2 linked regions of the Arabidopsis thaliana genome follow. The protein of the gene in region 1 interacts with the protein of each later gene in a pairwise test. Each region holds a gene or a part of one and is shown on either strand. Other genes may lie near its edges.

The links.
Region 2: the proteins of AT5G10290 (region 1) and LUT1 interact in a protein complementation assay, tested with the Arabidopsis thaliana proteins (one large-scale study listed by BioGRID).

What each region holds. Positions count from the first base shown.
Region 1 is NC_003076.8:3,224,369-3,240,315, forward strand, and holds AT5G10290 (leucine-rich repeat transmembrane protein kinase family protein), read right to left. Parts: upstream 14,441-15,947; 5' UTR 14,183-14,440; intron 14,031-14,182; exon of another isoform or gene 13,832-14,030; 5' UTR 13,804-13,831; coding exon 13,713-13,803; intron 13,587-13,712; coding exon 13,454-13,586; intron 13,374-13,453; coding exon 13,302-13,373; intron 13,208-13,301; coding exon 13,064-13,207; intron 12,952-13,063; coding exon 12,880-12,951; intron 12,794-12,879; coding exon 12,728-12,793; intron 12,649-12,727; coding exon 12,578-12,648; intron 12,479-12,577; coding exon 12,338-12,478; intron 12,236-12,337; coding exon 11,499-12,235; intron 11,409-11,498; coding exon 11,094-11,408; 3' UTR 10,890-11,093; downstream 1-10,889. Other genes in the region: CDKC;1 (cyclin-dependent kinase C;1), read right to left, coding at 1-14, 194-306; MYB92 (myb domain protein 92), read left to right, coding at 8,408-8,540, 8,616-8,745, 8,847-9,588; MES5 (methyl esterase 5), read left to right, coding at 15,316-15,678, 15,792-15,923.
Region 2 is NC_003074.8:19,691,148-19,708,431, reverse strand, and holds LUT1 (Cytochrome P450 superfamily protein), read right to left. Parts: upstream 15,676-17,284; 5' UTR 15,621-15,675; coding exon 15,123-15,620; intron 14,974-15,122; coding exon 14,677-14,973; intron 14,588-14,676; coding exon 14,390-14,587; intron 14,301-14,389; coding exon 14,199-14,300; intron 14,101-14,198; coding exon 13,960-14,100; intron 13,891-13,959; coding exon 13,783-13,890; intron 13,622-13,782; coding exon 13,539-13,621; intron 13,442-13,538; coding exon 13,279-13,441; intron 13,184-13,278; coding exon 13,154-13,183; 3' UTR 12,741-13,153; coding exon of another isoform or gene 12,363-12,740; intron 12,254-12,362; coding exon of another isoform or gene 11,917-12,253; intron 11,809-11,916; coding exon of another isoform or gene 11,744-11,808; intron 11,377-11,743; coding exon of another isoform or gene 11,077-11,376; 3' UTR 10,890-11,076; downstream 1-10,889. Other genes in the region: NodGS (nodulin/glutamine synthase-like protein), read right to left, coding at 1-119, 262-367, 445-560, 649-998, 1,203-1,364; AT3G53170 (LOW protein: PPR containing protein), read left to right, coding at 2,015-2,091, 2,201-2,510, 2,597-3,680, 3,804-3,832; UGT73C7 (UDP-glucosyl transferase 73C7), read left to right, coding at 4,475-5,947; UGT73D1 (UDP-glucosyl transferase 73D1), read left to right, coding at 9,146-10,696; AT3G53140 (O-methyltransferase family protein), read right to left, coding at 11,077-11,376, 11,744-11,808, 11,917-12,253, 12,363-12,740; VPS37-1 (Modifier of rudimentary (Mod(r)) protein), read left to right, coding at 15,942-15,955, 16,282-16,464, 16,559-16,646, 17,077-17,116, 17,204-17,250. UniProt on the Arabidopsis thaliana protein: Heme-containing cytochrome P450 involved in the biosynthesis of xanthophylls. Specific for epsilon- and beta-ring hydroxylation of alpha-carotene. Has only a low activity toward the beta-rings of beta-carotene.

The sequences.
Region 1 (15,947 bases):
CCATGTAAACTTGACTGCAACAGCAAAACAACAACAATCAAATCTCCTAAAAGCAACACAACATAGGCATTGTAAAAGCCTAATCATACAATCAAAAATCGCTTCAAAGGCCAATAATTTATCAATCCCAAGTAAAAATTAAGCCTTTTGAATAACCAAAGAGTGAAATTGAATTAAAGAGAAAGTGAATAACCCGTAAGTGCCTTCACCAATTTGTTCGAGCTTCTCAAAGCAATCAACGCTGCGAGATCCCCAGATTGGAGGAGGTTCCTCGAGATTTAGCTGCCCGAATGATGCCATCGCCATCTTCGTTCCCGGGAGTCCCACTGTCGAACAATATCTTTTACTCCGATGATCAAATTACGTCTTTCTCGATCGCTTTCCTTTTCTCTCAGACAACTCTCTCTCCGTAGGTTTCCCAGCTTATTTATGTAATTAGCGTTTCGGTTTAAATCTATGAATTGTCCGGTTTGAACCGGTCTAACCCTGAACAAGCGGTTGGTGTAAATTAGCGATCATCCGTTAAATTTAAATAAAATAATGAAAGAAATATCAAATATCATTTTTATTGACCGGTTTTCAAAAATACCACAACAAAAATAATCTTTTCAAAAGTATTTATTAAAATACAAACTCCATTTTTTAAAAATTGGAATTATGGGATTATGTTTCTTATGTATCTTTCTCATCATAAAAGACTTGACAACAAAATTGTTTAACATGCCAATGCCAAGCACACTCACAAGTCACAAAAAAAAAAAACAAATTGCAATTACAAAAATCATACATTAATTGTTCTATAAAGTAAACATTCATACATTTTGATTAATATTTATTTTTCAAGCTTAGATATATTATAAAGAAAGAGAAAAACTAGTGGACACTCGAACGCCCTAGATTTACTGCTCGAGATAAAATTTGATTTTCGTAAATAAAATTGGAGGCGAATTTGAGAAATCCCAAAAATAGCGGGAAAATTAAGAAAATCACTTAGGTTTTCCAGTGGGTTCACCGTCTGTGACAAGAGGTGCGATAGGAACAGATTACTCCTGAAGTGTTAGCGTGCTTATCACGCCATTTAACCGTGTACACGACCATTCTGGTTCAAAGGAAGAACGAGAACATTCGAATCTCGACCAAACCCTAGATCTCGGTTTCTTTACCTACAGGAAGACACGATTCACTATCTCCCTACTCATTGTCAAACCCTAACATCGGCTATTGGTCCTAACTCCTAACTCACCCGATTCAATTTAGGTTTCATGCTAACATCGGTGAAGGACGGTTATTTCGGAAGTTTGATTTTGGTGTGGGTAGGTCTAATTTTGGGTTTTGTGATTTCTAGGAAAATGTTTCTCTATGGTCATTCACTTGAATCAAACCCTATACATAAATCTTCCCTTCTTTTGTTTCGTATGGATGATATTTCTTTTATCTCTTATGAATCATGCTAGGTTTTTTTTCTTGTAACCGATATTAGAGTTCGACTTGGGCGATGGGAAAGATAGATAAGTATCTTAAGTATGTGCTATATATGTTTCTTGAACTTGATCCGTTGATGTTTTGGTTTTGTTTAAGTTTGTTGGTCCACAATGATATGAAAGATATATAGGCTTTTTCTTCTTAGTTTTATGAACTTACTATATATATAGGGAATCTGACTGATGGAAGTTTCAAAATGAACTAATGATAAAATAATGTTAAGACTATATATAAACAATGTTCTCATCCAATCCACTGTCTGTAGAAGAAATTGACTTGCATATTTGGTTCATATTCCACAATGGGGTTGAGATATGATCCTACTTACTGATTTTTCTGTCTGATGGTGTAGTTTTCAAGCTAACCAAAACATTCCTCTTCCAAGCTACTTTCTTCTGTGGGATGATGACTACGTAGTGGAGTTGTTCTACCATCTCCTACTATTCTGGTGATTTCAGTGATATTTTATTCTTGTGTTTCTTAATTCAAGGGAGTGGTCAGCCATTTGTGACTTCTATGTCCAACACGTATAACTATCCCACTTTCTGGTCCATAAATGATGCAAAGCAACACATATTTAAGTCTACATTGGCAATGAGAAGCCTCTGTTACCATGTTTCAGTTTCAAGCTGTAGGAGTTTGCTATCGAAGGTCAGCAACCAGAGTTCAATTCAGGTATCTCATCTCCTCTTGGGGTAGCTAGCAAAACTGCAGGATTCTAAGTTGTAATAATTCTGATGTCTTGTTGTTGTTGTTGTTGTTGAGTGCTGCTTGTTAATGTGTTGATTCACATGTTTGCTTCATGTACAAGAGAGTTTTCCAGATTTTTTATCATCCTAATTGTTAGAAAACTAAACAGTTGAAATAGCAAATTAGCAATGATCTAGTCCATGAGAGGATTTACCTAATATAATCTATCTGAGGGTATAAGTCAAAGGTATTCTGAAAGATCTATCTGCCCACAATATTATATTGTGGAAATCGTCAAATTTATAGACTTTTATGCAAAGTTTTATTGATTTTTTTTTTTGGTAAGAATTATCTTAAGTTGTGGTTGGCATCTGCAATCGTTGTGTTGTTCACATCCATCAGTCTACAGTTTACTAACAGATTCTAATCATGCATCTCAAACTGTATCATCATTTGTTTAGTGTTATTATTATTTTTGGATGAAATTCTTAATTTGTGTTTTTCCGTGTCTCTGAAAAAGATAGGGACAATTGTGAAGCTCAAAAGAATAGGTTAGTGTTTACTTAATGTTAAGTGCTACTAATCTAGAATAAATACAAAAGGTTTAGGACAAAGAGCAGATCTAAAGGTGACTTATAAGGTTTGCTCCTGGATAGCTTTATTTTCTTTATTGGAACTCAATTTAAAGACCTGACTTAATTACCAACCCCAACCATGTGTTTTAGAGTTCGCACAGCTTTTTATGATGCTTTTGTCAAGATTATTCTATTGTGTATCCTGTTCTTTACGTATATGTTCATGCAGAGATCTTCGTACTTTTTTGAGTCAGGCCATGTGGCTTACTTTTTCATGCAAAAAGCTTCCCCGGTTTTGTCTTTAAACTCTTACACTTTCGTGAAAAGATAATTCACTTTAGCCTGTTTGCTTTAGCTACTACCTTCTTAAAAGCAACAATGTTATTTTTACAGGGTCTTTCAGATTTTCTCTTTGTCTTCTGCTTGATGCTTGCTGGTGAGTGAAACGATGAACTCAAAGAACATAAACGGCGAGTGGTGTGGCCACCTCTCTTAGGTTCTGAGGTTTGTTGGTGCTTTTAGTTCCCATATCTTTGTCTAATCTTTAACTAGTTTTACTTCATTCTATACAATTTTTATTTAAGCAAATGTGGTTTCTCCATGCACATATAAACTTACAATGATAAGAGTATTTCAAAATTGTATGGTTTTATCACTGGTTTTGAGCTATATTGATTGGTGATGTTAAAGGGACTGTCTTGGGAATGTCATATTTTCAAGCACATAAATCATGAAAAAGTTGACAGAAATCTACCTTTCCACCTTTATCACATGACTGGTAAAAGTTAACAAACTTTATTCAGCTGTGCCTTTTTTGTCCCCCATTTGTCAAAGTGAAAGCTGGACTTTTTATACTTGTTTAAGATTTATTTACTGAAATAATCTCGTTTCTTTGGTTTATAGTAAACAATCTTGTTTGTTTGGTTTATACTTTGCACTAACTTCGTCTAGTTTTCCTCGTAAAACTCAAATTTCAAAAGGTAGTTTATATGTTCAAGAAGATATATGTTCAAGTTGTCTAGATGTTAGTGCAGATTTGTGAAACTAATAAAGATTTACATACATTATTTTCAACCATAATAATTGCCTATCTGTCTTAGTATGTACTGAAGGTGGACCTTTGATGAAAATCCCTATAAAAAGCTTTTAGTGAGAAGGCACCACTAACTTGGTGAACTCAATCAAAACCGACTTGATCATAAAGCCACTACTAATCCTTTTTTCAGTTCTAAACACTCTTTTTTTTCTGTACCACTTTGCAATAGATGCATGACAGATGATGCTTATATACCATGATGAGGAGTGGTAGGTTTATTTCCCATATATATAATTTTCTTTCTTCTAATTTGATGATTAAGATATATGTTTATATAATATACCCAAATAAACATAATCGCTGGCTTGTTCTATGATGCCTAGTTAACTTTTTTTTTAAACTACTTTCTTATTTGATGATAGCTACTAGTTCTTCCCCTCTGAGCTCATGGGTTTTTCTGTATGATGATTTCAGTTTGGGCTTTTTTAGATTTGGTCTAACAAAATTTAGGTTAAACAATCCTAAATGTACAACATGCTATCCTATAGTAACCTTCTCTTCTAATACATGCAGTGGGCTCAAAATTAATTGTTTGAATCTATTTCTTGGCAGGAAGTATCATTCAAAAAAATATTATATGAATACCTTAAAAGGGTCTTGGAGATGCAAATTCTTGAACAAGAATAGAAAGAGATGTGATCCTATTGGCTTTCCTGGTAAAACAATCTTCTGAACTTCATAGTGTATCTTCTGAAGTGGTTCTATTCTTGAAAATTTAGAGAAATTTGTCAACAATGACATCGTGAAATCATAATTTCTTTCATTTCGTGATTTCGTCTATGTTCTGAACTTGGTAGATACTTGTGATGGTTTAAATCCTGAATTATTGCTTCCTCTAGATTTAGTTGACACACTGGTTACATGCACGGATGCACCTAACTAAGTACGAGCTAGATTACCTCTTGTCATTGAGCAACTTTTTTTGTAGGAAAGACCCATTAGGTATAGGTACACATTCCTCTATAGTTTTCCTTCTTTTTGCATATAGTGAAACTTTATTCGTATTATAATTCCTCTTCATCTGTTTTTCCTTTTATATATGGATACATTTTACTTAATGATAGATACTATTAATGCATCCAATATGTGTAGAGCTCGTGGATGACATATATATTTTTCCGTTGTTAGCATCCATGTCTTTCACTGTCTTGAGCTGTAAAACGATGTCCACGACAAAAGAAGTTCAGCCACCTAAAATGACATTTAGTGGTTGATTGTTAACAAAAATACCGCTTAAGACCACACAGTTTAGGGCATATAATATTTGACTGACTTTATATAAACTAATGGTAGACATTCTTGTTCTTTCTTTTTTTCTTATTTGTCATGTTCTCGAGGTTTCTTGTGACGATGCTTTTTTTCTAGCAGATGTTCCAGCAATGTTGGGCGTAACGGTTGAGAAAAGTATGTGCTAATTTACTATTCTAAATGAAGAGTAAGCAAGAAGATGTTGAACCGGTGATTTCTTGTTAATTTCTCTTTTCAGATTTGAATAATATACATGAGTTTCAAAAGATTAATGCCTTTTAGATCATTATCATATAAAACTAATCCTTGACTATGCGTAACCATCATTAATTTGATTACTACAGATAAAATAGAAACCAATTTCTGTATTCCAATAAGATTGCTACCATATGAACAGTTGAAAAAGAGGATGGTCATGAAGATTATAGGTTTATATACGTGTGCATGCGTGTGTGATGTTACACGTGTGTCTCATATTTGTTCTTCTTGGTTTTACAGTCACCACTCTCGTCACTCATTGGAATTTCATTCAGGAACCTAACCTATGCTGATGATATTCGAATCACGAGCATCTTGGTTAATTTCGTCTGACTTCTGTAAGTATCAAGAGTTTAATCATTACTGCAGATAAATCCTCATACACAAACTTATAATTTGTGTTTTATCGATTTTGTGGAACTTAAAAGTTGGTTGCAAAATGCTTGGTATCATAAATTGATTAAAGGTATATTTGCAGATGATCTCGAGTTTTGCTTTTCACATTTACATTCAATATATAGGTATAATACAAGGGTTAAATATTTTCATTCGTTACATAGAAAGTCCGAGCTTTTAGACGCGTTGGTTTGAAACTTAGGAGAAGAAGCAATTCAGTTGTTTAGCTGACAATGAAAACCAAGTTGTTGTTGTTTTTTAATTAGAGGAAAAGAACGGTTTAAGTGACATCACATATTTCATAATTAATACTTTTGTAAAAAACCTATAGTGCTTTCCTTAATTCTTTAATATTTTCTTCACCTGCTTCCTCCACTCTGAGAGGAACCCTAATTCAACAAGCAATTATAATCTTTCTTTCCCTAATTTTAATTGAGTTTTTGTAAGAATTATTTCGTCTTTTTTTTTTTAATTTGTAGGCTTCTGTTACCTAGGTCTGATGATACTTCTAGAGTCGTAGGCTCAAATATGATGCAACGAAAACCATAGTGTACATCCAGATGCTACCATGGAGTTTCAATGTATAATGAAATAAAATTAAGATAATGGCTTTTATTAATCCTCTTCTGATAGATGGCTTTATAATCTTCTATATATATAAGGAACGTTATAATTTTTGGGTTCTCTAGGCAATGTTAGTTTGTCAAGCTTCATGTATATCTGTATGTTTATATTTGCAGTGAAGGTAGAAAATGAGTTGAGTGAAAATATGTTAATGCAAATCCATACAAAACCTGCTCAGAGAGTCAGAGTATCACATTTCACTTTCACCTACAGGCTACAGTTACTGAATACACTAAAATATCTTCTAGAAACTGACAGATTTGATGCCCTCATTTGGTAAAACATCTTCTTGTTTGATTTTTCTCTATTTCTTAATTAGATTTTGTTTCTTGATATTATGTCGTTCAGTTTGAATTTTGTGCACGGAACCTGTGATCTTCATTATATAGAAGACACAGAAGAAAAAGACAAGAGCTCAAGATATGCCATTGGGTGCAATACTTAGGCTGAGGGAGAAAGTCTTATAGGTTTTAAAGATGGTGGAGATTTAGATCATTTTCTGCACCCACCTCTCCCCTAACCAGCTCCTCCCTAGTGGTCAAAATCTGTCATATCAAGCCTGTCACCATCATCAATAGTAAGTACTTCTTCTGATTATACCCAAACTTGCCCCTGACTTACATTGACATTCTTTCTGATCTGTCCATTGCTATTGCTCGCTGAAATTTCATTGAATGCGCTTAGGAAATAATTAAGGATGATTTTAAACATAAGCTTACAAGTTTTCTTATGTATTGCCACAAAATGATACAAAACATAATCTTACAAGTTTTCTTCTAACGATATAGTGTATGCTTTTCCTGTCGGTTTCTTCATTTGGTATCTTTTCTTCCTAGAAAAATGCATTTTAGGGATTGGCAATCTCTGTAAGTAATACCTTAAAATTTGCTATATATGGACTTAATCATGATGTGTCAAACAAGAAATTTACACGGTCATAACAAACCCACTCTGCATCTTTTTCTTTTACACTATTGGACCACTTTACATCTTTTACTTGCTTTAATAATCTCTCAGGACTTTTTTGAAAGATTCTCATTTTCAGCGGCAAGCTCTTAGGGTTCATTGCCTTCCGTTTTGTTTAGTTGGTTGATCATAGCTTTAATCGGTATGTAGAAAAATACAATAAAAATATAGCTAATATGAAATATTAAATGCATAAACTAATAGGCCATGGAAATGGATGATGCGAGGAAAACCTAATTTTGCGTGCCAGAGGAGATGTCTCTTCTTTGGCCACCCTCTTGTTGCCATGTGTTGTTGGCGCTGACTTCTATATTTCACAAATTCTTTCTCATTTTATTTGTCATTCCAATGATTAAAAAATACAACCTAAAAGTTTAGCCCTCCTGTCAAATATCCTTTATTGCCCTTCTCCTCCATCATCACCTACTCGGAGAAGATCTTTTATGGATTTCATAAGAAAGATGATCTAACCTTCTTGCTTTTAGTTGATCTGTGTTTTTTTATGAGCTGAACCATTCAATAACCTAGACTAGAGTTTTGGATTGTGAAGAGACCAAGCAATAACTATGTGTTGTTGTTATTCTTCTTGACAAATGCAGGGGTTTGGTACTAGGGCATAGTGATGGCAACTAATGAACTGCTTCCCAATTAAAGACAAAAAACAAATCGATTGTTATGTGTTTGTCCGTTGGAGACGGCTGTTCCCGAGATGATACTGATGTTGCTTTAAGACAAGAGGAAGAATTTACATTGAATGATTTTTATCACACTGGTAAAGGAATGCGTATGTGAGAGTATAAAAGAAAATGATTAGAAAAATGGAATTGAAAGGTGAAAGTGACATGGTTGTTTTGGTAGGCGAATAGGAAAGAAGCACGTGGTGAATGGACATGAAGAGAAAAGGATGCTAGGTTTAATATAAATTGGAATAAGAAGCAGTTAGTGGTTGTGAAGGAAGGAAGGAGGCAAGCAACCAAATCTCAGAGACAATTATAACAGTATAGAGAAGGAAGAAAGAAAAGAAAAAGAAACCGTTGTTGATTTAGATACAGAGAAGAGAAGATCATCTAACATGGGAAGATCTCCTATCTCTGATGACTCTGGTCTCAAGAAAGGTCCTTGGACTCCTGATGAAGATGAGAAACTTGTCAACTATGTTCAAAAACATGGTCATAGTAGCTGGAGAGCCCTTCCCAAACTCGCTGGTAATGCTTTTGTGTTCTTTCTTTCTTGAAAGCTTGTCTTAAGTCTAAGCTTCTCATGTGATTCTCTCTGTGCAGGTCTTAACAGGTGTGGGAAGAGTTGCAGGCTAAGATGGACGAACTACTTGAGACCAGACATCAAGAGAGGGAGATTCTCTCCGGACGAGGAACAGACTATCTTGAATCTTCATTCAGTTCTTGGAAACAAGTAATTAATCTTGTGATGATTGTTTTGATGTTTTAGTCAACGGTTTTGTTTGTGTACCAGATTATCTTATACTGATTGCTTATGAATGATGATGTTATAAGGTGGTCAACGATTGCGAATCAGTTACCAGGGAGAACAGATAACGAGATCAAGAATTTCTGGAACACTCATTTGAAGAAGAAGCTGATTCAGATGGGTTTTGATCCAATGACTCACCGTCCAAGAACCGATATCTTCTCCGGCTTATCTCAGCTCATGTCTTTGTCTTCTAACCTGAGAGGCTTTGTTGATCTGCAACAACAGTTTCCTATTGATCAAGAACACACTATACTCAAACTCCAAACCGAGATGGCCAAACTCCAATTGTTCCAATACCTTCTTCAACCGTCTTCCATGAGTAACAATGTTAACCCTAATGACTTTGACACTCTCAGTCTCCTTAACTCTATTGCCTCTTTCAAAGAGACCAGTAATAATACCACCAGCAACAATCTCGACCTCGGTTTCCTCGGCTCTTATCTTCAGGACTTCCACAGCTTACCTTCCCTGAAAACCCTAAATTCCAACATGGAACCATCATCTGTTTTCCCCCAGAATCTTGATGACAATCACTTCAAATTCTCCACTCAAAGAGAAAACCTACCCGTGTCTCCAATCTGGCTCTCGGATCCATCCAGCACAACTCCTGCTCATGTGAATGATGATCTGATTTTTAACCAATACGGTATTGAAGATGTCAATAGCAATATCACATCTTCAAGCGGTCAAGAATCAGGAGCTTCAGCTTCAGCTGCATGGCCTGATCATCTATTGGATGATTCTATATTTTCCGACATTCCTTAGCCTTCTTTTGTCTTTACTTTCAGGTATGTACTTTGGAGGAACTCAAATCAAATTTACTCTTGGAATTGTGCTTGTTGGAGATTTTTATTTGCCTATCTATATATATATAAATACTGTAGAGACATCATATATTTGTAACTCATGTTGTAGAATGTACAGTACAGAGATTTCATACTCATATGCATATGTTGTTGTCAATGTTCTTTAGCATATGTCTCTGTGCACAGAGTTTATATATATATAAGATTTTTGTGAAATGGATATCATTTGTAGTTGTAGTTGTAGTTGTATGGTATTTAATAATTAGGGTTTTTGCTGATTATTTGAATCTTTTGTTTTACACTTCCTTCCATGGTGATAAGTGATAACATTCGGATCATGTATGAATATAGATGTCATAACAAATAATAGACAAACTGTTATTATGTGAATGAAAACACACAAAAAAAATCAAAGAGCAGTTTGTGTATCTTTAAGCAGAAAATCAAACAAATTAAAGCTAGAGACTAGAGTTTAAATATGTTAACATATGAAAGACCACGTATTTTGCTCTAAAACAACACATATTAGAGCTTGAATGTTGAGTTGTTTCATTATATCATTGGTTAAGTCTAAATGTTGATTTGATTGCCAAGAAGATCGATCAAATAATGGAAGAAGTGAAGAAGCATGTGATCGGCTGGCTAACGATAATATAAAAAGGCCAAGTAGAGATTTAATAATAATTAAAAGACAAGGCCCTTTAAGTATGTGATGTCAGATAAAGTGATCTCTCATTAGGTTTTATAGAAAAATCACTCATTGAATCTATTTTATTATTATTAATTTTGTTATAATGTTGAATTGACACATAATCGAGGCTTGTAAAGATCTTGTGCAATTAGGGAATTTACTTCATCCGTATCCAAATGATAATGATGTATAGATTTTTTTTGTCAATGGATAATGTATATTATTATCCATTCTTCAATCTTAAATATTTTTGGATATTTTCGATCATGAACATAAAAATCTTTAAAATACATTGCTATTGTATCTAACACAATTTAGAGATGATTAAAAATATGTTAATTTTTTGTTCTTCTTGTTTTCTATTCAAATATGAAAACAACGATTTTTCAATAATAAATATTAATTTTCATGTCAGAGAATACAGAAATCTTTATTTTGTGATATAATTAAAAAAAAAAATCATAAATTGAGTTGGCAAAACTAGGACAACTTGGGACAGAAAACATGTATTTAAAAGCCCATATTAGGCCCATATAAACGACAACTTTGTAATAGGCCTGACAGTATAAGACGACAAAAAGGTTTCTTGCGGTCAACGAAAAAAGTCAACAAAACATCATAGTTCTTTTCATTCACAGAATTTATTAAAGTCAAAAGATACATCATGAAACAAAAACAAGATTTATACAACTGATTTTACTTCTTCACCGAAGAACAAAACAAAAAAGTGAAGTTGGCAACTTTACAGTAAACTCAAGGTTTGATGTTTTTGGTCATCTTCCACCAGATAATTCAATGGCATCTTGGTTATGCATAGAATCTTCACCCCAATCAAATCTCCTCTGCAACCGTTCAAACTCATGACGTCTCGTGACTTCCACGTTTTGCCACTCTTCCCATCTCTCCGCAAGCCCTTCTCCTTCTAACATCCTCACAACTTCAGACATCACTGGTCGGTCTTCTGGTGAACCTTGTGTACAAAGCAAAGCCACTTGTATCATCATCTCTACTTCTTCTTTTATATACTCTCCATCCAAATTCTTATCTACGATTGCTCCTAATCTCTTCTCTCTTTCCAGTTTCTTCACCTGTCCAAAACAAAAAAAAGATCCAAAAGATTACGGTCAATAAAGCTTGAGAGAAGCTACTTCGAGGTAGGATTATTTGATTATACATACGTGGTCAAGTAACAAGACATCATCTTCTTCCTCCAAACGTGAAAAGTCTATTGCGCGTTGTCCTGTAACAAGCTCAAGAAGCATAATTCCATACCCGAAAACATCGGTTCTCTCTGATGATTTCCCTGTTGATAAATATTCTGGTGCAATGTGACCCATTGTTCCTCGAACTTGAGTAGTCACATTAGTCCTTCTAACATCTACTAGCTTGGCTAAACCAAAATCACCAACCACTGCTTCAAAATCTTCATCTAGTAACACATTAGCTGCTTTCACATCACGATGTATGATCTTCGGATTGCAATGTTCATGAAGATACTCAAAACCACGCGCTGCTCCTAAGGCAATCCGTTTCCTCGTCTCCCAATCTAGAACCGGGTCGCCTGCTTTGATCTCTCTCAGACGATGTGCAAGACTTAGATTCTGCATGAAGGGATAAACCAAAAGGCGTTCTGTTTGTGTGGTGCAGAACCCGATAAGACGGAGTAGATTCCTATGAACAGCTACACTTATCATCTCTACTTCCCTTTGGAAAGCAGCATCTCCACCAGGACTTTCGAAATCCGTCAATCTCTTCACAGCAACTTTGGTGTTATCCGGAAGCACTCCTTTGTAAACTTTCCCAAAGCCTCCTTGACCAAGTACATTCTTTTCGCTGAAGTTATCTGTCGCTAACTGGAGCTCTCTCCATGCAAACCTTTTCAACTGTCCAAATGCAATTCTCCTGTCCACTTCACCTGAAAAATAGTAAAGTTCCACAAATCTGCATATCAATACATCATAACATACCGAAATACGAAATACGAAAGAAAGGTTTCCCTGTAGGGTATATTACAGACCTGCAACATCCACAAACACATCACGTCTATATCCTTTATGCCTATCCTTGCAGAACAGAAACAACAAGATTCCAAAGAGAACAACTGTAACTCCAGCAACAACTCCAGCAATAATGCCAGTTTTAGGCTTGCTTGAATCACCTATCACCGCAGATTAGATGTTTTCAGTCTTTCATACTTTTGAAATGGTTGAAAATAAAGAAAATGCGGTCAGAGCAATCGCAAAGTGAAGTAGTTTACCTGAATGGGCAACCGCGGATACACAAGGGTGAGGTTGACGACCGCCACAATTCAAGTTGTTTGACGTGAAACTATAGTCGATTAGAAACAGATCAAATTACTGCTAAAGAAATGAGCATGCTAGATTAAACTTGAAGTAGTCAAACATACTTATATTTTGGGATCTCAAACAGACTTTGAGGAATCTGACCACTGAGACTATTGGAATCAAGCAGCCTGTAAACATAGTTTCAAACAATGGAATTAAGACAAGGATGCTTCCAGAAAGATGGTAAGCATAAACACAAAGAACAGTAACTCACAGGTTTAACAGGTTTGGAAGACCAGTGAGTGACTCCGGAATAGTCCCATTAAGTTTGTTCCTACTCAAGGTCCTGTTTAGCCAACACACAAGTGAATAAAGACATGAGTAATCCTTTTCTACGTCTTAAAAATGTTTTAAAACATGTGCAAGATTTAACAGCATTGTGAGGCGGAACTACTTACAAGAACTGAAGTTTCTTGAGATTACCGATAGTGGATGGTATACGACCAGTTAGCTGATTGTCCTCCAAATCCAAACTAGTCAAGCTAGTCAGATTTCCAAAGTCTTCTGGTATTTCACCCGTAATTCCATTTCCCTTTAAAGTACTATATATAAAAAGAAGGTAGCGAAATGCTCACAACCTAATATCTATGTTCTAGGATTTCAGACAAAAAGAGAGACTCAATCTAAAGCACTTACAGAGTCTTGAGATTTTCTAGGATTCCTACTCTTGAAGACAAGGTTCCCGAGAAGTTCATATCTGACAATGTACTGCAATCACAAATGACATGAATATAAATCTTCTCACATGGAAACAACATTGACTAATTCAGAGTTGTCATTAAACTTACAGAGAAGTGACAAAGTTTTTGTCATCACAAATAACTTGGGACCAAGTGCAAGGATTAACTTGGTTCTGATTCCAGTCACTTAGCTGATTCGGTAATGCACGTAAGGAGATCCTCAACGCAAACAGTGCATCCCCTGAAAATGGAAAAGCAAAGAATCATAGAGTTAAATCTTCAACCTGAACAAGCTCAGAAATTACCAGAAACGAAACAAGAAATGAGAGCAACAAAATAGCAGTTGAAAAGTAAGAAAAGGCATCACCTTGAGCATCTGGAGACACAAATGAGCATAAACAGGCAAAAAACAAGAGAGTAAAAGCCATAGCCATCTTCTGCAAGCTGAACATTCTCATCTCATCTCATTAATTGAGCTGGTTCCATCTACAAAGACACATTTAATAACATTACAACAAAATCTTTTTCTTACTTACTTTTAGTGGATCTGACACATTACAGAGAAAGATTAATGGAGAGAATCTCTTCAACTATGAATCAAAGACTTTCTAAATTCAACCAAACTTAGCTAAAAATAGGTCTGGTAAAGAGAAATTAGGGATAAGAATAAATTCCACTATTGAAAGGTTGAGACTTTGCATAGAAAAAGAGTCAAACGGATGCAAGAACACGAACATGCTCAATTTCCCAGAAAGATTAGTGACCAATTTTGTCAGACTTGATAACAATTCCAAATCTCAAAAACAGAGCAAATAAAAGAAGGAAAGAACCTCGTACCCAAGGAGAAAATCCCAAAAGAAGGAAACAATTATCGCTGATCGAAAGATTCAGTGCGGAGAGTAGAACCAAAGACAACAAAACAGAAAAAAGAGAAAGTGAAAAGCTTCGATTTTCTTGTCTAGTGGTAGACTTTGCGTTTTTTGGCAATTTCGCAATTATCACTCTCGCTCGCTAATGGCCTTTGTCTGAAAGAAAAGTCCAATGTTGGTCCACGAACTGCTTTTTCTCCGTGCAACTTGTAATTTCCCTAAATAACTAATGAACTTTGATAATGATGTTTGGAACGATGTGCTATTTAATTACGTGGATGTAAAAGAAGACTAACTAAATTGTCTTTTTCTTTTTTCCCTCCTAAATCTACTTATCAACTCTCGTTGTTTTTTACCTGACAACCATTGTGTAAATTGAGGAATGATTTTCGACATCATTGACAATGAGGCTATAATACAGCTGACTGAAATGGCCAACTATACACCACTCACTAAGACGAAATGGCCAGCCTAAAAAAAGGAAGCGAATCTCCCTGTACAAAGGAAAAGTTAAAAATTGGTACCAAAAGGCAAAAGGAAAAGGTTAAAATGAGTCAATAAAAGAGAGTCACAGTCACAGTGTTTCACGGCCCATGGGCCGGCTAGACTCAAAGAAGGAAGGGAAGCTGTGAAGATTCTCAGATCAATATGAAGATTAGGTCGGTTAACACTTAACAGGCACGTGTTTATCGTGTTCAATTAGTTCCGTTAATTAAGCCTTTTTTACGTCCATCTAATCGCGGATGTCAAAATCTTACATGTGTTGGTCCGTTATTAGATTGAAACTGTGATGTACTCATATATTTTTTTAAATGTCCAAAAAAATTAATGTAATTTAGCTAAGTGTGATTACAGAATTCTGCTTTATTTATTTAAAATATATCTAAATACAAGTATACAAAAGTATACAACAGCCGACCGAGGAGACTAGTAAATCTGAACATGTGTCATAACATAAGAAGTTATTAACAGCGTAACGTATATGAACCTTATCCCACTATCACTATATAATAATAACGTCATACTCATATCCCAACTTTATCACGCTATTCTCAAACAAGCAAAGAACCTTAACCAAAAAGAAAACGTCTACGGAGACATATGGAGAGGAAACATCACTTCGTGTTAGTTCACAACGCTTATCATGGAGCCTGGATCTGGTACAAGCTCAAGCCCCTCCTTGAATCAGCCGGCCACCGCGTTACTGCTGTCGAACTCGCCGCCTCCGGGATCGACCCACGACCAATCCAGGCCGTTGAAACCGTCGACGAATACTCCAAACCGTTGATCGAAACCCTCAAATCTCTTCCAGAGAACGAAGAGGTAATTCTGGTTGGATTCAGCTTCGGAGGCATCAACATCGCTCTCGCCGCCGACATATTTCCGGCGAAGATTAAGGTTCTTGTGTTCCTCAACGCCTTCTTGCCCGACACAACCCACGTGCCTTCTCACGTTCTGGACAAGGTTAACAATAAAATAACAAAAATAATTTTGATACTAGTAGTTTTTTATAATTTGACCAACTTATCTTAATACCATGAAAATAATTCTTGGTTTGGTTGATGATAATAATAAAGTATATGGAGATGCCTGGAGGTTTGGGAGATTGTGAGTTTTCATCTCATGAAACAAGAAATGGGACGATGAGTTTATTGAAGATGGGACCAAAATTCATGAAGGCACGTCTTTACCAAAATTGTCCCATAGAGGTATTGTTCCCACAAATCTCTAAA
Region 2 (17,284 bases), on another chromosome or scaffold:
AGAATGGATAAGCTGCATGAAGAAGAACTATACGACACTTTCCAAATCTTTTGTCTTCAAGAAGGGTTCTAAGGTGAAGAGGATTCGACAACCTCAAATCCAAATCCTTGTCACCAAAACTGGCTCAAACAACAAAAGAAAAGGAGAATTTTCATTACTACAAACCTCTGAGCATGAGTTTCTGTTTCTGTGTAAGGTTTGTTTGATAAAAAGATCAGACTTTACTAACATCAATCATATAGTTGATCAAATCTTGCATACCCGGTGTGAATCTGCAAGGGCAAGTCGCGACGCACAGCGACCTCCAAACTAATGGTAAGGATGTAGTCAATCAAGCCCTTGTTTCCTATGCGGACAGGCTTTCCAGCTGCAGCAATATTAGATTTTAAGGTGATCAGACAACAACTATGTTACTTCTTGATAGACCAAGCACAACCATCTTACCTCGCAAGACTTCAACAAGGCCATTCTCAGCAACTTCTTTACTCACATAAGTATCAATATCCAAACCGCTACGATATGCAGCAATAGTTTTCAAAGCAACAATCTCTGGAACAAGCGTGACCGAAGTAGTCAAGGTTAACCAATACTAGTGAGTATAGTCACAATCATTAAGCGTGTATTAAAAAAGCAAAGATAAAAGGATATGAATTTAATCTTTCAACAAAGGTTTTGGTGAAAGAATCTAAATCCCAAACAGGCGGTTCAGTACTCTCAGAACCATAGAAATAACCACCAGGACACTCCTCTTCGAGGATTTGCTCGGCAAGAGTTTCGATACGCAACACTCTACCAACGAATGGAACAAAGTTTCTATGCCATTCAATATCATGTTTCTTGTCTAGCTTTAATCCATCATCAATGAGGAGAGCAGAGATTCGAGCTTCTTTAAAACACTTGGAAGTAAAAGAATCCAAACCCGAGGTTTTACGATGTTCCTCAACCGCTTCTAAAGATACTTCAGTGCCATAAAGTTGAGCAATCTCCCTCAAGTTCCTCTGTTTCATTCATACAACCAAAAACATTCATACCAACTTCACGAGATTCCTAAACAAGTCAACATCTTTTGAGTAACACTCGAAACTTTAGTTAACTAATACTTTTGAGACTAATTAGGAAACTTTAAGCTAACGTTTTCATTAATTAGAATCTGATTCAAACGAAAACTAACTAGAGCAAAAACACTTGGTATCGTCGTGTACCTTGAAGGAGAGAGAATGAGGAGCGAAGGTTAAAGCGTCGCCGGCAGCCTCGGAGAAAGTTCCGATGAACGGAAAAGATGAGTCAAGAGAGACAATGTTGTGTGCGTGAGCATCAACGAGCTCTATCTTCTCTATTGCTTCCTTTAACTCACTAAACTCCATCTCCGTCTCTCTCTGTCTAAAGTCAACAGTTCGATGTTCTTGATTCGTGTTAATCTTCTTACAATCTTCACAGTTTATTACAGGAACGGTTTTAAAGCATAAGTGAAGAAGATCCAATCAAATCGTTGACTTTTCCTTGTCTGATTTGGTCGGTGGCCGATGTCTCTGACCTTTAAACTTCACGACGGCGTTTAGAGGAGAGTGATGAGCACGTGTCCACGTGAAATACATTAGCCTCCACGTGTCCTAACTAGTGTGGATAACTTTCAACTGTGTTCTTGGTTTTTCATTTTCCAAATTCCGGTTCCTTGCCAAGGACAATCTCGTTTTAACAAATTCGAATTCAAAATTAAATTGGAAAAAGCTCCATTTGGTTCTTCCTTCATCAATCCAATCCTTTAAACCGGACAAGAAAAAACTGATTAATGCTAAATTTTTAATTTTGTAAATCCAAATTAAACCGGCATCCAAATCAAAACTAAAACCATTTCATTATATTTTACAAACCGAAGAGAAGCTACACCAAACCGGAGAAGAAGAAAAAAACGAAGGAAAAACAACGGTATCGTCGTCGTCTTCTAGCTCTGCTTTCTACCCAGAAAATTTGCAGTTTCTTTTTCTCCACCTTATCTTTCTACCATTTTTCTTCGATGGCATTGATACAAAATCCTGTTCAAGGAACTACTTCCGCGTACGCCAATGAGATCGCACAACTTGGTTTTTCTCGGTAACATTCTCATATTTCATACAATCATACTGTTTTGAATTTTACGTTTCTTTAATTCTTCAGTTGTGTTTATATTAAATCTATCTTTCTCTGTTTCTCATTCTTGCAGAAGCGTGGTTCAGCAACATATATCTTCCCCTGTTTATTTTCGGTGTATACCAACTATTTCAATAACGCCCACAATGTGTTCGACAAAGGTCCCCAACGAACGTACAGAGAAAATGAATTCTGGTTTGATCTCAACAAGACACCAAGTAGATCCTAAGAAAGAATTGTCTCGGATTCTGAGAACAGATGCTGCTGTGAAGGGCATTGAGAGGAAAGCCAATTCCGAAAAGTACTTAACTTTATGGCCAAAAGCTGTTCTAGAAGCTCTTGACGAAGCTATCAAAGAGAATCGATGGCAGTCTGCTCTCAAGGTACAGCTCTTTAATCCTTCTTCATTCTTACAGATACTTGGACATAGATTCGATAGAATTCACTTTCCTGTTTCTCTACTTTATAGATTTTCAATCTTCTTAGGAAGCAGCATTGGTATGAACCAAGATGCAAAACTTATACAAAGCTGTTTAAAGTGCTTGGGAATTGTAAACAGCCTGATCAAGCCAGCTTGCTTTTCGAAGTTATGTTATCTGAAGGATTGAAACCAACCATTGATGTGTATACCTCTCTTATCTCTGTTTATGGCAAAAGCGAGCTTCTAGACAAGGCGTTTTCTACACTTGAGTATATGAAATCTGTTAGTGACTGCAAGCCAGATGTGTTCACCTTTACTGTTCTCATCAGTTGTTGCTGCAAACTGGGTCGGTTTGATCTGGTTAAAAGTATCGTTCTTGAGATGTCGTATCTTGGAGTTGGATGCAGCACGGTTACTTACAATACTATTATTGATGGGTATGGAAAGGCTGGAATGTTTGAGGAAATGGAAAGTGTTCTGGCTGATATGATCGAGGACGGAGATTCTCTTCCGGATGTTTGTACGCTTAACTCGATCATTGGGTCATATGGAAATGGTCGCAACATGAGGAAGATGGAGAGCTGGTATAGTCGGTTCCAGCTGATGGGGGTGCAACCGGATATCACTACATTTAACATACTGATCCTGTCATTTGGAAAAGCTGGTATGTATAAGAAGATGTGCTCTGTTATGGATTTTATGGAGAAAAGGTTCTTCTCCCTGACGACTGTCACTTACAATATAGTGATTGAGACGTTTGGAAAAGCTGGAAGAATTGAGAAAATGGATGATGTATTCAGGAAAATGAAGTATCAAGGAGTGAAACCAAACTCAATCACTTATTGTTCGCTTGTTAACGCGTATAGCAAAGCAGGTCTTGTCGTTAAGATAGATTCGGTTTTGAGGCAAATTGTGAATTCAGATGTGGTACTGGATACACCGTTCTTCAATTGCATAATCAATGCATATGGTCAGGCTGGTGATTTGGCTACAATGAAAGAATTATACATACAAATGGAAGAGAGAAAATGTAAGCCTGATAAAATCACTTTTGCTACTATGATCAAAACCTATACTGCTCATGGGATATTCGATGCAGTCCAGGAACTCGAGAAACAAATGATTTCCTCTGGTGAGAATTTAGATATCCTCTAAGAAATATAATAACTGAGATAAGAGATATATCTTGAGTATTGCAGCTCTATTTGGTGGTTGAATTTGTTTCTGAACTATTCTTCCTTTACTGGGTTTTAAGATATAGGCAAGAAGAGGCTTACGGAGTGATGCTTTAGTTTGTGAATGAGCAAATCTAATGCAGAAGGAATTTAGAAGTTGTGAATTGTTCCAACTAAGAGAATCACTTGAGGTAACCTTTTTGTTATAAACTGTTATTTTTACTCTAAACTTCAAGATAAAATGGAGACACATGCTTGTAAGTTTAAGTGTTTGTTCAGGTGTTTGGAGCGTTGGTTAGCAAGATCCCAAGAGAGGCATGGCCATTACTAATGAGAATTTGGGTCGGTTCTGAAATAACCAAATCAGCATTGGGGAGAAAACGTAATGATTCCAGTCAATGTAAGTAATAAAAGCCATCACTAGTCTAAATGTTATGGTCTATTTTTCACATGTATTAGAAAATATTATCACATATTGTGTCTGTATATTTTGGATTTGTTTTCATCGTATAGGTTGGGACAGCTGTCTAGAACCAAAACTCAATTCAAAGTTTTCTTGGTAAAGTAAAATATAATTTTCTTACGCAGGCTCTTTAGACGGGTCAAAACAAACTGTGATCTAAAACTTTATCGTAGCTATATACACATAAATTATTTTCCAACATCGTATTATATATATCATTTGTAAAGAGTGGCCTGCTTTTCAAGCCTTAAAAGATCTTTTTTTTTTTTCCTTGTAAGATCTTCTACAATGTGTTCTCATGATCCTCTTCACTTCGTCGTAATACCCTTTATGGCCCAAGGCCATATGATCCCATTGGTCGACATCTCTAGGCTCTTGTCCCAGCGCCAAGGCGTGACTGTCTGCATCATCACAACTACTCAAAATGTAGCCAAGATCAAGACTTCACTCTCATTTTCCTCTTTGTTTGCGACTATCAACATCGTTGAAGTTAAGTTTCTGTCTCAACAAACGGGTTTGCCAGAAGGGTGCGAGAGTTTAGATATGTTGGCTTCAATGGGCGATATGGTGAAGTTCTTTGATGCTGCCAACTCACTTGAGGAGCAAGTTGAGAAAGCTATGGAAGAGATGGTTCAGCCGCGGCCAAGCTGCATCATTGGAGACATGAGCCTTCCTTTCACTTCAAGACTTGCCAAGAAATTCAAGATCCCCAAACTTATCTTCCATGGGTTTTCTTGTTTCAGCCTCATGTCTATACAAGTGGTTCGAGAAAGCGGGATCTTGAAAATGATAGAATCAAACGACGAGTATTTTGATTTGCCCGGCTTGCCTGACAAAGTTGAGTTCACGAAACCTCAGGTCTCTGTGTTGCAACCTGTTGAAGGAAATATGAAAGAGAGTACGGCCAAGATTATTGAAGCTGATAATGACTCTTATGGTGTTATTGTGAACACTTTTGAAGAGTTAGAGGTTGATTATGCAAGAGAATATAGGAAAGCAAGGGCTGGAAAAGTTTGGTGCGTTGGACCTGTTTCCTTGTGCAATAGGTTAGGGTTAGACAAAGCTAAAAGAGGAGATAAGGCTTCTATTGGTCAAGACCAATGTCTTCAATGGCTTGACTCTCAAGAAACTGGTTCAGTGCTCTACGTTTGCCTTGGAAGTCTATGTAATCTTCCCTTGGCTCAGCTCAAAGAGCTGGGACTAGGCCTTGAGGCATCTAATAAACCTTTCATATGGGTTATAAGAGAATGGGGAAAATATGGAGATTTAGCAAATTGGATGCAACAAAGCGGATTTGAAGAGCGGATCAAAGATAGAGGACTGGTGATCAAAGGTTGGGCGCCGCAAGTTTTCATCCTCTCACACGCATCCATTGGAGGGTTTTTGACTCACTGTGGATGGAACTCGACACTAGAAGGAATTACTGCAGGAGTTCCATTATTGACATGGCCTTTGTTTGCTGAACAATTCTTGAATGAGAAGTTAGTTGTGCAGATACTAAAAGCAGGGTTAAAGATAGGAGTAGAGAAATTGATGAAATATGGAAAAGAAGAGGAGATAGGAGCGATGGTGAGCAGAGAATGTGTGAGAAAAGCTGTGGATGAGCTAATGGGTGATAGTGAAGAAGCAGAAGAGAGAAGAAGAAAAGTTACAGAACTTAGTGACTTGGCAAATAAGGCTTTGGAAAAAGGAGGATCTTCAGATTCTAATATCACATTGCTCATTCAAGATATTATGGAGCAATCACAAAATCAATTTTAAATTTTGGTATTTGGCACCAGAGAAAAACAAAATATATGCTTATAAAATAGTGTTTTATTTTCCATGTTAGATTAACAATGTTTCATGTGTCAAAGGTGCTTTTGTGCTGTATATATCCACAATATCCAGACAGAATTTGTTTCATACTTTTGGACCCATATGTATTAAAATATAGGTTTTTGTTATTAAACTTAGAGCCCATATATAAGTCTAGTGGGCCTGGGTAACATATCTTCTCTAGAGTTTACCAAAAACTCATCTCCATTTAATATTTTGATTCAAAAACATCAAATTATATACAATGAGTTAAACATATAAAATTTAAAAAGCATAAAGAGGTTGCTGTTGCTGTCACATTAAATGAAGAAAATAAGTTATATTAGTATTTCAAAGACGACCAAGAGAGGATCATCGGCAAATGACTTATATTGAATCGTTTTTTCTTCGTTTAATATTAGTCTATTCAGTTTTCTGCTAAAAAATATTTGAAAAATCAAGTTTTTTGGCACGGTAGTTTGGAACTTTGGATCATCTTCATGTTAATGTGTTGCGTAAGAAGATATTTCCAGTCATCGATTTTGATTAGATTAATATATGATACTCATACTAGTCAGTCCTTTAAGGGCCGGGTAAGATTGCAGAATTGTTTTCAAAATTTCGGTGAATCTTCTTTTGCAAGTTGTTTTATTTGATTCATTTTTGACATTTGGACGTGGCTTTGCTTTTCTCATATAGTTTTATTGATTAAAAGTCTAAGTTTATTGATTGATTCGTCTCAATATAATTAGTCAAATATGAAGATCTTGTACATAGCTGATCGCAGAGCAGTTAGTGAAAGCCATGGTTGTCTTCTAATACCAATGATTGGTAATTGAAGACAGATACACATTACATGAGTAAGAGATTTCAGTATTTTTCTTATGCAAAAATAGGCGTGCTCCATCAAACAAAATGAATATATATACGTAGACACAGTTGCAAAGTGAAACTATGTCATATACTTTTAAACAATTCAACTAGAGCGGATTCTTTTTTATTCATTTGTGTTAAAATATTATGTTTTGCTCTAAATGAAACTATGAAATATACATGATAGTGTGTTTATTAGAATTTTTATTTACAAGTTGTAAACAAAGACATAAAACAAGAACGGAAAAGAGAACATTTGAAGATAAATGTTCAAATAATATTTGATTACAAAAAAAATAATGAAACTTGTTATCAGTAGAAGACGACTTGTGAAAAGCAATACTATGTATACCATTCATGTTGTAAATATGACAAGGAAACCAAGTGGTGGTAGTCTACTGGTTTCCACTTGAGCAGGAATTGCCCGGTTGGTCCAGGCCAGGGATCGATTCCCCTCAGGCGTGAAATTGCTAGTTATTTTTATTTGGCCAGAGACTTTCACCTGGTTTTCTCCGGACCCTGCATGGATTAAGGGTCTAGGCCCCGAACCTCCTGCTTATCAAAAAAAAAAAAATATATGACAAGGACTCATATTTAAAATCCCATCAATATAGAGACAAATTAAGATTACCCAAAAGGTATGAGTGATACACGTCAATGCTCCAATATTCCAAAAGTTGAACTGGTCTTACGTTGGTTTGTTCGCCACATACGCACAATTTGAACGTTTCAAAGAGTCCTTTTTCATGCAGACAAAAAAATATGTCCTTTTCAGACGGAACTCTAAAAAGATAAGGAAAATATGCCGTGGTGTTTGGTGTTTGTTTATTCAAAACGAATGCTTAAATTAACTATCACAACTATATGATTTTCTTGGGCTAAAAGCTAGCTAGCTAGGTATATAGTTTCCTAATTAGTTTGTAGAAATGCCTTGACTTAAAATATTTTATGAACTTTTGATGATAAAAAATTAAACTTGGGAAGTATTTTTTCCCAATCTCCAATATATGTATATATTTTTTTTTTTTAAAGGCTTAATCTCCAATATATTTCGATGGGCAACCTACATAACCGAGGGTTGAGATCATACATTAATATATAAAAATATATCCAAGTTGTCATTCATTATCTTTTTTTCTTTCCATACATTATCTTGTTCTTAATTAGTCATCAAAATAATCTTTTTAGTATACATATTCTGATAGACAATAACTTTATAGAATATCTCAATCATTTCGCATCAAAAGTATAGATTCGTTTGCCCAAAAAAAATAAAAAAGTTATAGATTCGTTCATTACAACCAGATGAATTTGATTCCAAAAATATAAATTAAAAAATTACATATCGAATATCATATCTTGTTCAATCTATCTTGACTTTGAGATAGCGCCTTTGATTTTGTTTTCCTTCTCTCTTTCTTTCATGCGATCTTGGAACCAATGTTTGGAACAAAGAAAAACAGGAACTCCGTGAACCTAAACCTACGCAAAAAAGACTCTTTATTATGAGGAAAATAAAATCACATTTTGTATAAAATTAGAAGTCCTAATTCTTCTTCTTTTGTTCAATTTAAAGCTCAACGTGAACTCTTGTACAAATGTGTTGAAATTCTATCGAGTGCTAATTTTAAATTGATTTCATTTGCATTAACAAATCGATCTCTTTGAACACACCGGAAAGAAATTAAATGAAACTCATGTAGATTAACGATGTGATCGATCATGTGATAACCAAACAAATAATCTATCTTTAGGTGGAGACAAAACCATAATCAATGGAACTCTAACAGCCCCATCGGCCAAGCTTGACCTACTTGGTACTTCTTTATACAGAAGTCGTAATACAAAATAAACCAAATTAAGATAACGATATTTTTATATATATAGTTGTCTTTTCGTAAGTGTCAGTGAATATTTAACTTGTTTTACTAATAAATATTTAAGATAAGATTCTTTTAACTTAAATTTACATATCTCACTGGATAACTCAACATTTTTTTTTTTGTTTCATTTGTGAATTTTCCTTGAAGTTTTCCTCACATATATATTTTCCTTGAAGTTTTATCTTATGTAACTCATTAAGTGTCATGAATGACGTAACTCATCACCGTCAGCGATTTTTTTTTATAAGAATGAGGGTACATGATTGGTTCTCTAAACAATAGTTCTTTTTTGGTGACTTGTTCAAAGTCAGTATATATATACAGCTTTTGATGACTTTCCCAATTAATTAAAGGTCTCTCACCAGATGCATTCACACACGTATATACACATTGTCGAATTTTGTATATGCATAAACATTTGCTAAACCCAAAAATGGAATCAAAAATAGTTTCAAAAGCCAAAAGACTTCACTTTGTTTTGATCCCTCTCATGGCTCAAGGGCATCTGATCCCCATGGTCGACATCTCCAAGATTCTTGCACGACAAGGCAACATCGTTACCATAGTTACAACCCCTCAAAATGCTTCTAGGTTTGCGAAGACAGTTGACCGAGCAAGATTAGAGTCGGGTCTCGAAATCAATGTCGTTAAATTTCCAATTCCTTACAAAGAATTCGGTCTTCCCAAAGATTGTGAGACTCTGGACACTTTGCCCTCCAAAGACCTCCTACGAAGATTCTATGACGCTGTGGATAAACTCCAAGAGCCCATGGAACGGTTTCTTGAGCAACAAGATATCCCTCCAAGTTGCATAATCTCCGATAAATGCCTTTTTTGGACGTCAAGAACCGCAAAGAGGTTCAAAATCCCGAGGATCGTGTTCCATGGAATGTGTTGCTTCTCTCTTTTGAGTTCGCACAATATCCATCTTCATAGCCCGCACCTCTCGGTTTCTTCGGCCGTAGAGCCATTCCCTATACCAGGAATGCCACATAGGATTGAGATAGCTAGAGCTCAGTTACCTGGTGCTTTTGAGAAGTTAGCAAATATGGATGACGTTCGCGAGAAGATGCGTGAATCTGAATCAGAAGCCTTTGGGGTTATTGTTAATAGCTTCCAGGAATTGGAGCCTGGCTATGCAGAGGCCTACGCTGAGGCCATCAATAAGAAGGTATGGTTCGTTGGACCCGTTTCTTTATGCAACGACCGTATGGCTGACCTATTCGATAGAGGAAGTAATGGTAACATCGCAATAAGCGAGACCGAATGCTTGCAGTTTCTTGACTCGATGAGACCAAGGTCAGTCTTATATGTTTCTCTTGGTAGCCTCTGTCGACTAATACCTAATCAATTGATAGAACTAGGTTTAGGGTTAGAAGAATCGGGAAAACCCTTTATTTGGGTGATAAAGACCGAGGAAAAACACATGATTGAGCTAGACGAATGGCTAAAACGCGAAAATTTTGAAGAGCGAGTTAGAGGAAGAGGGATAGTAATAAAGGGTTGGAGTCCTCAGGCTATGATACTCTCACATGGTTCAACCGGCGGGTTCTTGACTCATTGCGGTTGGAATTCTACAATAGAAGCGATATGTTTTGGTGTACCAATGATCACATGGCCGTTGTTCGCTGAACAATTTCTCAATGAGAAACTCATCGTGGAGGTTTTGAACATCGGGGTTAGGGTTGGGGTGGAGATTCCGGTGAGATGGGGAGACGAGGAGAGACTTGGAGTGTTGGTCAAGAAACCGAGTGTTGTGAAAGCTATAAAGCTTTTGATGGACCAAGATTGTCAACGTGTAGACGAAAATGATGATGATAATGAATTCGTGAGACGAAGGAGACGTATTCAAGAACTTGCAGTAATGGCGAAAAAGGCTGTGGAAGAAAAGGGATCTTCGAGTATTAACGTTTCAATTTTAATCCAAGATGTTTTGGAGCAATTGAGTCTCGTGTAGAAAAATCGAATGTAGAAGTTGACATAAGATTTATAAGAATAACACCAAACGATTTTTCTTTTTGCCAAAGAAGAAAAATTCATATAGATATAATGTGCATAATATGTATACTTTCGAACTCTTCTCTTAGCCTAATGAGTGATTTAGAAATACTCTTGAAATCATCACTTAAAGAGTCTTTTTTCCTTTTTCTCGAAAGATGAAACTTATATATATGGAAAATGCCTTTTAAGGATGCACTTAGAATATAGACTTTAGATTATTACATCTTGATGAAAATATTAATGTCTTCACTAGATATCTCAACTCAATTAACAAAGAGGTCTTTTGATTCATTATTTTGAAGCTTTTAGAAATATGAGAAGAAAAATGCTTGAATATTACTTCTGAAACTCTAAGATGGTGTAGAAGTAATCAATGTAGAAAGGTCGAAAAGTAGGGAATCCCGCGGAGAGACCAAGCTCTATAAACTCTTCTTCGGTTCTATGCTTACCTTTGGTTCTATAGATGGTCATGACAAAGATGTCACCTTCTAACAAGGCACGAGTCCGGTGACTTTCATCGGTTTCCTTAGGCAAGACCGGCTCACACGCAATCAGCTTTCCTCCAACTGGTAACGCGTTGTAGCAATTCTTCATTATCTGCTTGCATTCTTCATCCGTCCATGTCGTTAACACCCACTTTACACTCAAACAACAATATTACAAGATATTAATTTGGGACCAGAGAAGCAAAAAATGTGTGTATTTGTTTGTGTTGTTCTTTCAACAAACATGAGATCCCTATCCATGGTCTAACAGATCACAAGTTTTTGGTTTGAGAAATGTATAATCAATATTTAAATGATCATAAATAAATGAAAGTGACCAGTCGCATGATCTAACGATAACTAAGACTATATACTACCAAACATATTGTCCGAAGCGACTTATAAATTTATACCTATATCACTAAACATTAAAACTATATACAGAAACTAGAATTCGTCCTATTAGCAAAAATGTTAGTAGGTGTATTCTCGTGACAGACAATAATGTTACAACAAACCTTCATGAAGATAGCGTCAGCGCTAGGAACTGATTGGAACATATCCCCACCCACGTGAGTCACTCCTAAACCATACAATATATCATCCATTATTACTCCGTACATTACTAAAAATAGCTTTTTACTTTCAGAAAATAACGTACGTACAATATATCATAAATACAAAATCTCACCAGGAATATTGGGGGCTTTGGCAACAACTTCAGGTAAATCGAAATTAATCCCTTCACGGACGTTAGGAAATTGTTGAAGGATCATACGCAGACAATCCCCTGCACTACCTCCTACGTCAACCAAAATATCCACTGATTTAAACCCATCGTAGCCGTCTAATATAGCTTTCATGAACGGTACAGATACGCCAGACATTGCCTTTTGCATTAGACCATTCATCTCCTCACTTTTCCCATACTGAGCGTATGCCGCCTCGCCGTTTGCTTTCACGTACGGCTCTGTCTCCGGCTCCACCACTGCCGTGTGAACTAGTGGCCATGCTCGCATCAACGCCTCCTGTAATATATATCATTTTCACAACAAGTTTTAGACATTAGTTTATTATACCATCATTAGTCCTTTAATATATCACTCCAATTTTGGAAAATGAAAATGAGTCATAAACCTGGTGATGTTGGAGGACGTAGGCAGCGTAAGAGAGGCCGCCGGAGTCGGTTACAAGAGTTTTTCCGACGTCCGTAAGAGAGTATTTCCTCTCAATGGATCCAACAAGGTGTTCGGAGAAGACACCGTAGCTGGTGAGCATCCGAAGTATACGCTGAAGATTCTCGGGGTCGCCACCAATGGTAGTGTGAGATGGTAGGTGGAGGCGAGGGAGGATCTCGGCGGCAGAGAGAGGAGAATTGGCTCCGCCGTTCCAAATGGCGTCGGCAATGCCTAGTCGCACGGCGGCATTGAGAGACATGGGAACGCTAATCATGTTAGCAAGCTCCATAATGGCAAGACGAGCTCTGTTTCTACTCTCTGAGCTTTCGTTCTCCATTTTTTTTAATCTTCCTCGTACGTGAAAGTGAAACTACACATCGCTATAGAACCCACTAGTATTGGTTTTATATGGTTTTATATGGTTTTTAAGGTTAATGTTACGTGTGGTCCATATGGAATGGGATGGTTTTAGACCTTAGTCTATTATTTAGAAATTCAAAAAAAAATAAAATTTTGATTTTCGTAATTACTGAAAAATGGAGAACAAACACAAGCTGTATGAAAGTTTGATTTGAAATGATAACACAATTACCAAACTTTAATGGTACTAGCATCTCACTGTTCAAAATTCACATTTCCGATGGTACAACTATTTTCCATAATTCATTTTTTTGTGGTTATTTCTCAAGAGTACTATGAAACAAGTCCATTCACACCAATCAATTATCATGAAAACATAAATTCTGGTTTTTACCTTTGGCTCACCTTCATATACAATCCCTGAAATTGAAAATATCAGCATTAGAGAAATTGGAATCATTCTAAACAAAACAGACACTCTCATTAATCTCTCGAGTGTGAGAACATTGGCATACATTGGTGGTGTGTATGGTTGCTCCTGTGGTCATGCTAATGGTCTGATCAGGAACCAGCTCAACGTTTAACCGCTGAAGAAACACCGCGAGTGCCACAATTGCCTCCATCAATGCAAACTGATCGCCTACACATTTTCTAGGCCCTCCACTGAATGGGATGAATCTGGTGAAAAAAGAAAATCATCTTTTAAATTCCCTAATCAAAACCACTAATCTTGATTCAGTAGTTTGTGTCAAAAGATGTGTTCTACTGAGTTTACTTGAAATCAGTGTTTGTTTCGTTAGGGATTGCGCCATCTATGTCGAATCGTTCAGGCAGAAATTCCTCAGCTTTTTCCCATACCTTTGGAATAACAAACAACAAACACATAAGAAATGTGGGCATGAATGTAATACTAGGAATGTCCACTCCGGTTAGATATCCGAACCACACAAAGATCATTGAAGAGAAGGATTAGGCTCCCCTATGTTATACTATGGACGAGAGAAGGAAGAGAACTGTACCTCGGAAGAACGATGGATGTTATAGACTGAAATCATAATGTCTTGTCCGGTATTGACCTTATAGTTCCCAGGAAGAATGTCAGGAACTTGAGCTCTTCTTATCAAGACCTACCAGGAAACAAATCAATCAGAAAATTTAGTTCATGAATAATTAGAGAGATGAGCTTGATTGCTTACAGGAGGATGAGGATAGAGACGCATTGACTCGTTTATACAACGAGTGATGTACTTCAACTCCTTTATATCCTCGAAAGCCGGGTTTCTTCCTTCTAACACTCTGTCTACTTCTTCTTGTGCTTTCCTTAATGCAGATGAGTTCTATGAACATAGAGAATTTGAAGAGGTAAATGAGAACAGAGAAGCTCCCATCCAAGTAAATTCTCTAGCATAGCAAAGTAGAAGATACATTAAGGTACCTTACTTAGGAGATAAAGTGTCCAAGTGAGGACAGATCCAGTGGTTTCATGACCCGCTACGAGCATTGAGAGAAGATCATCCCGTAACTGCACACTTGATACCTGAAAACCCTCACAATGCAACATCAGCTTCGATTATGCGATAATGAAAGGCCAAATTTGCTTATAAACTTAAGGAAAAAAGTTTAAACCTCTTCTCTGCTTGCAAGCAAGAAACGCAGGATACTTGGGTCAGCATCATTTACATACTCCTCATCATTGATTCTTTCGCCTTCTCTTTCGACAATTTCTTTACACTTAGCAATAAGGTCTTCAACAGTTTCCCTTATCAAAGTTACAGCCTTTTCAGCTTTCACCTGTCTCGGGACTATCTTACACAATGCATCGATCTGAAAAAAACAACCAAACCCTCTCAATTAACAAGAATCCAATTGTTCCACACAATCAACAAACCACAGAAAAAACACAGGAAACTTGCCTTCCAATATGGCAGAAGATCAGTAGAACGAAGCTCAGCTTCTTTAAGAGCAGTGTAAACAGCTTCAATGACAGGACTATCAGTAGTCAAAGAATCGAAATTGTAGTTAAAAAGAGACAACCCAATGACATCAAGTGTCATCTGAGAGAACTTCGCTTCCATATTCACAGCACTTCCGTCTTCTGCATAAGGCTGCAACTTCTCAACAAGCCTCTCTGCACATTTGCAGAATACTCTCTCCACAATCACAGACAAATACCTCCTGTGAAGCGATGGAACCACCGCTCTACGCCTCGCCTATGTAAAAAATCAGACTTCAGCTAAGCCCAATAGAGAAGATTGGAATCTAAACCCTAAAATTAGAGTTACTTATCATACAAGACAGTCACACATTACTTCCACAATTCCAAAAACTTCAAAATTGAGATAGGAGGAGATGAAATTACTGTCCAAAGAGGTCCTTCAGCGATAGCGAAACCCGAACCAAATAGAAATTCAGAGACTTCAGCGACTAAGCCTTTAGCGTACTTTGGATAATTCCTCAAAACATGTTTAGCTATCGCTGGGTCGCTCACAATTACGAAATTACGAGGACCAGCAGCGAGACGGTAAATGGGTCCGTACTCATTCATCCATTTGTAGAGAGGTAAGAAGAGAGCACCTCCGAGGAGATCAGCGACATCGTCGAGCTTCGCGTTCGCGATTGGTATACCTGACTCGTCGTTTTTTCCTGAGGAAAGGGTACGAGTGAGTGTTGTGAGCCAATCGGGACTGACCCATGATTGGGATTTCGATGAATTGGTCTCGAGTTTGGGTTTGGGTTTCTCAATGGAGGATCTGATGGAGAATGTGAATTTGGGTTTTGGTGATAAAAGACGCGTAGGTTTTGCAGTGAAGAGAGAAGAGTAAGAAGAGGAAGATGGAGAAAAGAGTGAAGACTCCATTGATGACCTCTTTTCGAAGCTTCCGTGCAGAAATATTTGACTCTGTGTAGAAACGCGAACCGTTACGCGTGGATAAGGACGACGATGCATAAAACGACTACGTTTTGTTAATCAAAACTTAATATGGGCCTCCTCGTATTTGGGCCTTTTAAAAGCAAGTAGCAAAATCTGAAACGAAACAGAGAAGATCGAATTTTCTTTGAAACTCTGTAAACTCTGTTTCTGTAAAGTTGTTAAATTTTGTCGATCTGGTAGGAAGAAGAAGTACAAGAGAACAAGAAAAAGTCAATTCCTTTCGTTAGTCGGCGAATTCTAGAAACGATGTTCAATTTCTGGTATGATTTTGCGAATTTTTTGCCATCTGATTCATATGTTATTGATGAAATTGCGTGATCCAGACATTAGGTCTGTTAGCGATTAAGGAAATCTTGTTGTTGTGTAGTTTGTTGAGCTATAATGATATATTTGAGGTTTTTGAGGTGAATTGACAAGTGTAGATTTTGCTCAGCTACTGATTTAGGGTTCATAGTTACTGATATTAGGTTTACAATGATGTGCTGTATAAATGCACCTTTCAAGTTTATGAGGTGATGTATTATATTAACTTGGAAGCTGAGATAGTTAGTTGATGATGTTTCTTTTTTTTGTTGTGTACGTGAAGGGGATCAAAAGACCAACAACAAGGGCAATCTCGTCCTCAGGAAGCTTCTTCACAGTCGCCATGGTACTCGCCTTCTTTAGTTAGCTCGCCAAGCTCATCCCGGCCTCAAAGTTCAGGTCAGATTTCAGCACAAGTATCACCGGGTGAAGCAGCTGGCATTATCGTCTTCTTGAAAGACAAAAGGTTTGCTCTTTTTGTTTGTTTGTTTGTTATCCTTCTCTCGAGTGTGCGTTTTTTTTGTATGTCTTCTTTTTGAATAGTGTATACTTTTCTGTAGCGTGGATGAACTCAGGAAGCTTCTCTCTGACAAAGATGCGTATCAGCAATTTCTGCTCTCTCTTGACCAGGTCAAAGTCCAGAATAATGTAAGTCTCTAAAACAGTCAGTTGTTTCTGGATAGCTAAGAGTATTACTATTAATTGTAGTCCTAAGAATGGAGCTTCGTTAGTTATGTGTTGATATTATTCATTGGTGCTCTTTCAAGTATATACATTGATATTGTTTGAGGAAGCCTTTATCATGGCGTCATCTTCTACATGTTGCCAGTAATTAGAGCTTTCTGGTTCTTTGTTATAGTCTCTAAAACAGTCGGTTGTTTCTGGATAACCGAGGGTCTTATCTGTAGCTCTAAGAATATGTAGCTTCTTTAGTTCTGTGTTGATATAATTCATTAGTGCTCTTTCAAGTCTATACATTGATATTGTTTGATAAAGCCTGTATCATGTCATCAGCTTTCTGGTTCCTTGTTATAGTCTCTGGACGTTAATTTTTTCGTGATTTGTTTCTGTCCGTCAGATCAAAGATGAGCTCCGTAGAGAAACATTGCAGCTAGCTAGTAAGTACTCTATGGTTCATGTAATTCTACAGGAAACTTTAGTTCAATCCAGAAATCTAGAACTTTCCATTTGATCAAATGTAACAGGAGACAACTTGGAGAAGGAGCCACAGATAATGGAGCTCAGAAACCAAGTGTGTATCAAGAACCAACTTTTCTTGTTCAGTT